Danio rerio: one gene and its partner. The protein of the gene in region 1 purifies or fractionates together with the protein of each later gene. This does not show direct contact. Links are inferred from orthologs where the notes say so. Each region holds a gene or a part of one and is shown on either strand. Other genes may lie near its edges.

The links.
Region 2: the proteins of wwc1 (region 1) and amot purify together in Homo sapiens (affinity purification with mass spectrometry; 3 studies listed by BioGRID and IntAct, with this or other methods). This does not show direct contact. The link is inferred for Danio rerio from reciprocal best matches to the Homo sapiens genes WWC1 and AMOT.

What each region holds. Positions count from the first base shown.
Region 1 is NC_133196.1:40,241,593-40,245,866, forward strand, and holds the start of wwc1 (protein KIBRA), read right to left. Parts: upstream 2,900-4,274; 5' UTR 2,074-2,899; coding exon 1,955-2,073; intron 1-1,954. UniProt on the Homo sapiens protein: Regulator of the Hippo signaling pathway, also known as the Salvador-Warts-Hippo (SWH) pathway.
Region 2 is NC_133196.1:41,208,528-41,212,359, forward strand, and holds part of amot (angiomotin), read left to right. Parts: intron 1-1,833; coding exon 1,834-1,949; 3' UTR 1,950-3,832.

The DNA of each region.
Region 1 (4,274 bases):
TGTATACATATATTTTTTTTTTACATTGCAGCCTCTTGCGAATAACTAATCACAATGTTTCAAATTGCGATTCGATTTCGATTTAATCGTACAGCCCTAGTCACTGCTAAGTTTCACCAATATAGAGTAAAAGTTTATCATTTGCATGTGTTTTTAAAACCTGTGACTGTGAGCATTACAAGAGTTTAAAACTTTGCGCACAAGAAATAATGCTGTTGGAGGTGTAACAAAGATCATTTGTAATTCATTATTTATGCGATTTTATGCAAGGTTCCTACTTGTAATTTTTGTCTTATTTCTAGTCCAAATGTCTACATTTCAAAGCAAAAATAAGATTATTCTACTTGCCCCATTTACAGATAAATCAGCTTGTTTTAGTGATTTTTTATTAGTATTTTTTTCTGAAGGTGAAAACAAAACAATATTTTAAATTGATCAAAGATTTTTAGATATTTGGACTAGAAACAAGACAAAGTAAGAAAAACATTTTTTTAGCATTCCGGTTATTCAATTTCTGTATTTGACTCCCAAGAAAAATGTCAAATAATACTATTCAAAACATCTTGTGAAAAAGCATTCATTTCGCAATATTTATCAGAGAAAAATTAAATATCGTTATATTTTTCCTAATATTGTGCAGCCCTTGCCATTACCCAAAATGTAAAACTACACTAACTGTGTTTGTCTGACAAAAGAAAAACATATTTACAGATGATGACTTGAAGTTGAGGGTGAGGAAAAACCATGAAAAAGTTGGTTTTATATTTGCATATTCGTTCAGTGACAACTTGTGATATGCTCCCTATACTGTTTACCATGTGTACTTTGATTATTCAGTATAAAATCGCATGTACAACTGAAGTCAGAATTATTAGCCCCCTTGTTTATTTTTTCCTCAATTTCTGTTTAACAGACAGAAGATTTTTTGTCAACACATTTCTAATCATAATAGTTTTAATAACTCTTTTCTAATAGCTGATTTATTTTATCTTTGCCATGATGACAGTAAATAATATTGTACTAGATATTTTTCAAGACACTTCTATACAGCTTAAAGACATTTAAATGCTTAACTGGGTTAATAAGGTTAACTATGCAGGTTGGGTAAATAGCAAAAGATATAGTTAAATAATGGTGGTCTGTAGACTATTAAAAACACAAATAGCTCAAAAGGGGCTAATCATTTTGACCTTAAAATGGCTTTCAAAAAATTAAAAACAGCTTTTATTCTAGCTGAAATCAAACAAATCAGACTTTCTCCAGAAGTAAAAAAAAACATCAGAAAAACTTTGAAAATGTCCTTGCTCTATTAAACATCCTTTAGGAAACATTAAAAAAAGAAATAAAAATTTAAAGGGGGCCAAATAATTCTGACTTTAGCACCATTTAACTGACTCTGAACAGTGTTGTGCTTTGATAGTCATTGGCTGCTAATATGATTTCCCTATTCAGAATTTGCAAACAATAATTTTCTGAAATTATATTAATCAAGGAGAAACTCAGCGTGTGCAAATATAAAACCAACTTTACCTCAATTAAACCATGGGTGTATTTTTTTAATTTTGGGTGAACAATTTGAATACATTTTTGTGAATATGTTTCTTTTTGTTTGTTTGTTTTTTGCACAGACGTGGTTTCACTTTAAAAAAAAAACTTTGTCATAAATATTAGTTTAGTTTTGACTGTTTATGTTTTCATGACAAGTCATGACTTTCCCAATAACAACAGTTTCGGCTAAAGCTTTTCTTTATTACTCCAAATTAAAAAGTAATCTACATCTTGTTCAGTCAGAGGCTGCGTTAAAAGCAAATGTTCATTTTAAGACCTCCTCTCTCTTTAAATAAGAACACATTGACCGATTCACAGCTGTACACATGAGTAATGAACACAGCATGTTTCTGTATACTGAGTAAGCAAGTTTATATTCCCAGAACGAGCAGTACTCATCACATACCTATCCCTTGGGTCAATCCAACTGGTGGTTTGATTAATATGGTCTATATAATAGACCTTCCCGTCAAAATCTCGGGCCTCTTCCCAACCCTCTGGCAATGGTAACTCCTTCCTTGGCATGACCAACACTTAGTCTCCATGTAATTTTCTCTGCAAGTCTTCTAAAATGATTGGTAAGCAAACCATGTGTTGCTTTGCTTGGACTGGTCCAAATAAGTTAACTCCAAAGCGTAAGAAAAGTGCCATTAATTAACCACAGGTAGAGATGTATTCCGGATTATCCATGGTAATGTCTTCCTATATTCCAGTAGAGCTCGTGCAGCCTATATACAGAGCATTGCGTTCACGCTGTTAACTTAAATGAATGGATGAGAGGGTGATGCTCTGAATCGCGTAACTTTGCCGAAGGAGTTGTGCTTTTTGTAAGAAACTCCTCGTTTCTTGTGCATTCTCAGTTAAGTACGTACTACATCAATCAATCATATTTTTTCACCCACGGAACTTGGATGGTTAACGTCAAAAATGAAGGAAAAAAACTTTCAAAGGTCGTGCGCGAGTTTTCAACATGGACAAAAAACTATTTTAAAGTCCAAAAATAATCTTCCAAACATAACACATAGAAACCGAGTAATTTTTCCAGCATACTCTGGGAATAGTTGAGTGAGTCTGGAAGGTTTTTCGCTCAGTGTCTGCCCACCATGTTTTAGCGACAACTATGCTAGCCTGTTAGCCCCAAAAGCTCGTTGTACAGCAACGCAAACTGTTAGACACGCCACACAAACGTATTCCGTATCCTGTCGTTTGGCCGATGCATTCCTGTTACATCCAGAGGATTTTCGTAGATTTCTGTAAAAAGTGGCGCGTTTCTTTCTCATTTGTTTCCAAATGTTGTGTTTTCCTTTAAGTGGCTGTGTGCGGTTCTCCCCCGTAGTCAAGCTCGGTCGCTATGCTGCGGTTGGAATGGATTACGTCATACAGGTGACGGCCGTAGCTCTTCTAGTAGCTGTCCAGTTAAAAAGAAGGTGAAGTATTTAGGAATAGATATCACAAAAAGTTTATCAGAGACAAGATTTCTGTCTCTTGCCTTTGATTGTAATTAATTAATTTTAATCTGTTTTATATATTTTGCTTAATTTTTATATATAGGTATAGATTTTGTTTGCTGGTTGTTTTGTAAAGCACTTTGGTCAACATCTGTTGTTTTTAAATGTGCTCTATAAATAAAGCGAACAAACAAACAAACAAATTTATAAAAGCTCAAGGTATAATAAATAACTGGCTTCAAAAGGATTTATCTATTATTGGCAGAGTTTTGTTGACAAAACAAAGAGATTTGTTTTCTAGATTTGTTTACACGACTTTATCTCTTTTTGTTCAAGACGCTATTTGTAAAAAAAAAAAAAAAAAAATATATATATATATATATATATATACAATTTTTTTGGAGAAATAAGCATCATCATTTAAGAAAGGAAATTCTTCAAGGTCCAAGTAAAAGATGGAGGATTTGAACTTTTGGATTTTTTTTTTTTTTTTTTACTTAAATGATACATTAAATAATAAAGTTAAATGGCTTAGGAATTGTTTATTGAAATCAGATTCATTTTGGTTTTTTATTCCACATAATATTTTCAAAAAGGTTGGAGGTTTTTACTATCATGTGACTACTCTGTTAATAAACTACCTGTCCAATTTTTATCAACAAGCTCTTAAAGCGTGGAAGTTGTGGTATGTGCACACTTTTTTTTAAACAGAGCCTTAAAACCTAGAGGAAAATGTTTTTGGAATGTTTGTTTTGAAGATATTGTGTGGGGAAAAGCTTGGTTGCTTCCTTTTCACTTTTGCATAAGTAATAAACAGAGGCAACTACATTTAAAAATACTTCACAACATTAATGTTAGCAATTAAACAATATCGAAATTTATGCAGACTGATGAAAATTGCTCATTCTGTTTAAATCTTTGGTTCATCTTTTTTTATGATTGTCAATGTTTTAAGAACTTTTGGGAAAACTTATCGTTGTATTTCCCCCCACCACCCAAAAAATAAATAAATAAAAAATCAGGTTTTAGATGTAATTTGACCCCCAAATATGTTAAATTTTATTTTGTCTCAAACTATTTATCTGTGGAATTCATAATGGATCTTTTGATTTTATTCGGTAAATTTCATGTTCATAAATGTAGATTGAATAACTCTAAACCTTGTTTTAAGGTTTCCATAATAGATTTTTATTTGTATATAGACTCAATCCAGTATATTAATAGCAAGAAATGTCAAGATACAGTTATAGTTGCAAAGGAGCTGAAGTTAATTGAATA
Region 2 (3,832 bases), about 970 kb from region 1:
TAAAAAATGTAACTACACGTCGCAACGACGCGTAGCGCAAGCTCTGTGATTAGTCTGCTTGGTAGCGCTGACGAGTCTGGGCGGGACCGAGAGCCGCGTGAATGGTGCGAGCCTGATGGAGCGATTGTTTACAAGTGTGGAGTCCCGTGAAGGAGCTCCGAATGGAAAGTTTTGTTTTGTGTTTACCTCATAGTTAAAGTTGTTGCACGTCCGCCGGTTCCTACCTCAAAATGAGCGAGTTTGAGCCACTTGTACATCCCGGAAGTGTTCAGGAAAAGCAAAAAAGCAGCAAAGAAACTCGATACAGAGGATCAAAAACACCTCACTGCCAATTAGCATTTCGAAAGTGTTAATGCAGACCAACAGAGACAGCCCGCAGAAGTATAAATGCACAGCCACGCGCGTTGCATGCACCGTGAGTTACGCCAATCACTTAACGCAGAAGTATAAATCAGGCTTAAGACGGAGCAGCAGTGTTTTTGAATGAAATAAGCCTCTTCAGTATTTCCAAAACACTCTGTTTTCGTCGCTCAAACTCCGGCATAGTGTGGACGGACGGCGTAACTGTAGCAAGACATATGCGTTTTAGAATGAAAACAGCCTCTCCAGCGTTTTCAAAACGCTCCATTTTCCGTGCTTGAAAACTCCGGCGTAGTCTGGACGCATAGTGTAACCATAGAAAAAATGTTGCGTTTTAAAACTAAAACGTATTAGTGTAAACGGGGCCATAGTGTAAAAGCCTGTGCACACCGTAATGATTTTTCACTTGTGCATAACAACATGTAACACCTTATGACTAAACAAAGAGTGCCAATGTGAGCCACAAATAAAACAGCAAGTATAAAAGTGTCATTTAAACAAAATTCAAACATTTATTTGGTTTGGCACACCACATTAAAAACTGGTCAACCAATAAAATTGGAGTTTTTGTTCGTGTGCCTGAAACAGCAGAATTATAATAAACACAACTTGGTGGCACTAAAACATAAACCTCTGTGAGCTGACTGTGTCACTTTGAGTATTTGTTTTTCCATTAAAGGCTGATTTATACTTCTGCGTCAAATGCACGCGTATGCTACGTGGCCGTCGGCGTCGCTGACGTGCACCTCTCAAAAAATGTAACTACATGTCTCAACGACGCGTAGCGCAAGCTCTGTGATTGGTCGGCTTGGTAGCGCTTACGAGTCTGGGCGGGACTGAGAGCCGCGCGAATTGTTTACAAGTGTGGAGTCCCGTAAAGGAGCTCCAGATGGAAAGTTTTGTTTTGTGTTTACCTCATAGTTAAAGTTGTTGCACGTCTGCCGGTTCCTACCTCAAAATGAGAGAGTTTGAGCCACTTGTACATTCAGGAAGTGTTCAGGAAAAGCAAAACACCAGCGAAGAAAATCGACACAGAGGAACGTTTACTGCCATCTAGCGTTTCGGAAGTGTTAATGCAGACCAACAGAGACAGCGCACAGAAGTATAAATGCACAGCCACGCACGTTGCATGCGCTGTGGGTTACGCCGGTCACTTGACGCAGAAGTATAAACCAGGCTTAAGTGTCATCTAACAATGAGTTTGCACATTCACTTTGCTGATGATAAAATCATGAGTGAAAATCATCAGTGCGCATGAGCCCTAACTATTCAATCAACCATGGAGAAACATTTATTAATTGCATGTACCTACTGTATAATCTGGCTTAGAATGCAGATTAGTGGGATGTAACTATGCTGAATCTAATTGTAATAACTATAGTAAGTACACAATTTATGTATCAAGAGCACCATATAACATCTTTACCTTGGCTGCTATTGGTCATTGATGTTTATGTTCTTGTATGTGCGCAGACGTGCCAGTGTTTCACAGCAGTACATTAGAGAGGAGAGCACCAGTGCAGAGTCTTCCTCCAGCATCAGTGGCAGCACAGGACATGGACAGCGACATGGTGGAAATCCTCATCTGATCATCTTTTACTGTGCAGGTGAAGAACTCCACACACTCCTCTATCATACATTTCACATCAGGATGTTTCTGAACAAACACACCGACAGCCGACTACAACACACAACAATTCATTTTTTGTACAGTATTGTCTGGTGGACTTTTTTTTTCCCAGACCTTCGGACCAAATTATAATTGTAATTCTTTTTTTTTTTTTTACATTTATTGCACTACTTTTGTTTATTTGGGTATGCAATTTGTCTGTATTTACGAATAATACAAATGTGGCACTTGAGTATCTAACAAAATGGTGACTAGCCGAACAGTTGTTACGTGTAAATACTGTATCCGAATACTGTAAAACTGAATGTCATAGGGCTTTTTTTATAATAAATTGTTGGGTGCAGCACGTTTTGAAGAGCAATGGACCACCAGAAGTTCACATGTGTGTCCAGAAGCTCACGTTTCTGTATGTGAAAGTGTGAAAGTATGAGTGACCCAACTGGTTTTGGGTTGGTCTGAATGAGATTCTCTAGTTTTTCCAATCTGAACTGTAGATTCCTGTAAAGCTCTGACACATAGGACATTTCAGTTTGTTTTCCACAATTCCTCTTGTCCTTTGTAAAAGACAAAATGGCTTCTTCTCCCAGTCTTATAATTGCGTTTGACCAAAGGAATCCATTTAAAAGGACACATTATGTTTTAGAGCAGGGTCTAACCTAATTCAAGATTTCACACGCATAAATGAGAAGTTCTTTCCATGAAATCAGTGAACATCTATGAAACCCTCAGATTTCATGGCTTTCATAATCTCAAGTGCTTTATAGTTTTCAGAGTTTTTCCCAAACGGCCACTGGATGCAAGTTTGCGGGTGGTTTTCGGCTTGACGTCAATGTGACGTCTGTTGGAATCGTGTGTGTTCATCTGGAACGTGTCACATATAAAGTGTTTGCACATCTGATCAACGTTCCTGTAATGTTCCCAGACAGACGCCATATCAACATTCAGCTGATTTACCTCCTGAATTGATGTGTTTGTCAGGTGCTTCTGCACACAGAGCTCTCGTAGGGGCTGTTTGCTGGCCTTTAGTATTCGTCGTTTACGTACAGACGAACGTGCAAGTTTACGCATTTTAAAGCAGGTCATCATTTCAAAGAAAAGCATCAGATTGATTAAAATAGCGTTTACACAGCTGTTCACAACATTGAGGCCAGTAGGAATGTTTTTAAACAACATGCTCACAGGGTCTGCGTTTAGATCATCACAAATACAGTCAGTGACATCATGAAATATTTCAGAAAATTAATACAAATTTAAATGATTATTTTCTATGAATCAAAGCTGAATGTTCTGCATTATGTTAGTTTCCGCAGTTAATGTTACATATAAATGCATCAAACTACATATGATGCTAACAACTTATTTAAATAGTATTTTGGTCCCACTTTATATTAAGTGGCCCTAACTAATATATACTTACTTACATAGAAATTAATAGTTTGTTACAATGTACTTATTGTGTAAATACATGTATTTACTGTGTACTTATGCTTGATTAATACATGTATGTAATTACATCTGTAATTAACTTTTGTAATTACATTTGTTAATACACTGTTGACCATCCCTTACACCTTAACCCACCCTTAAACCTACCCATGCCACCAAACCTGTCTATAACCCAACCTCTATCCCAAAAGCACCACAAGTGTTCTCAAATACATTATAAACACAGTAAGTACATTGTATTTATTTTTTTGATGTAAGTACATAGTAGTTAAGGACACTTAATATAAAGTGGGACCAGTATTTTAAATAGTTTCGAGTAGGATTGCCAAAATTTTTGACTTTACCAATCGATAATAAAATTTAAAAAATGACCATTTCATGCATACCGTCTGCTGA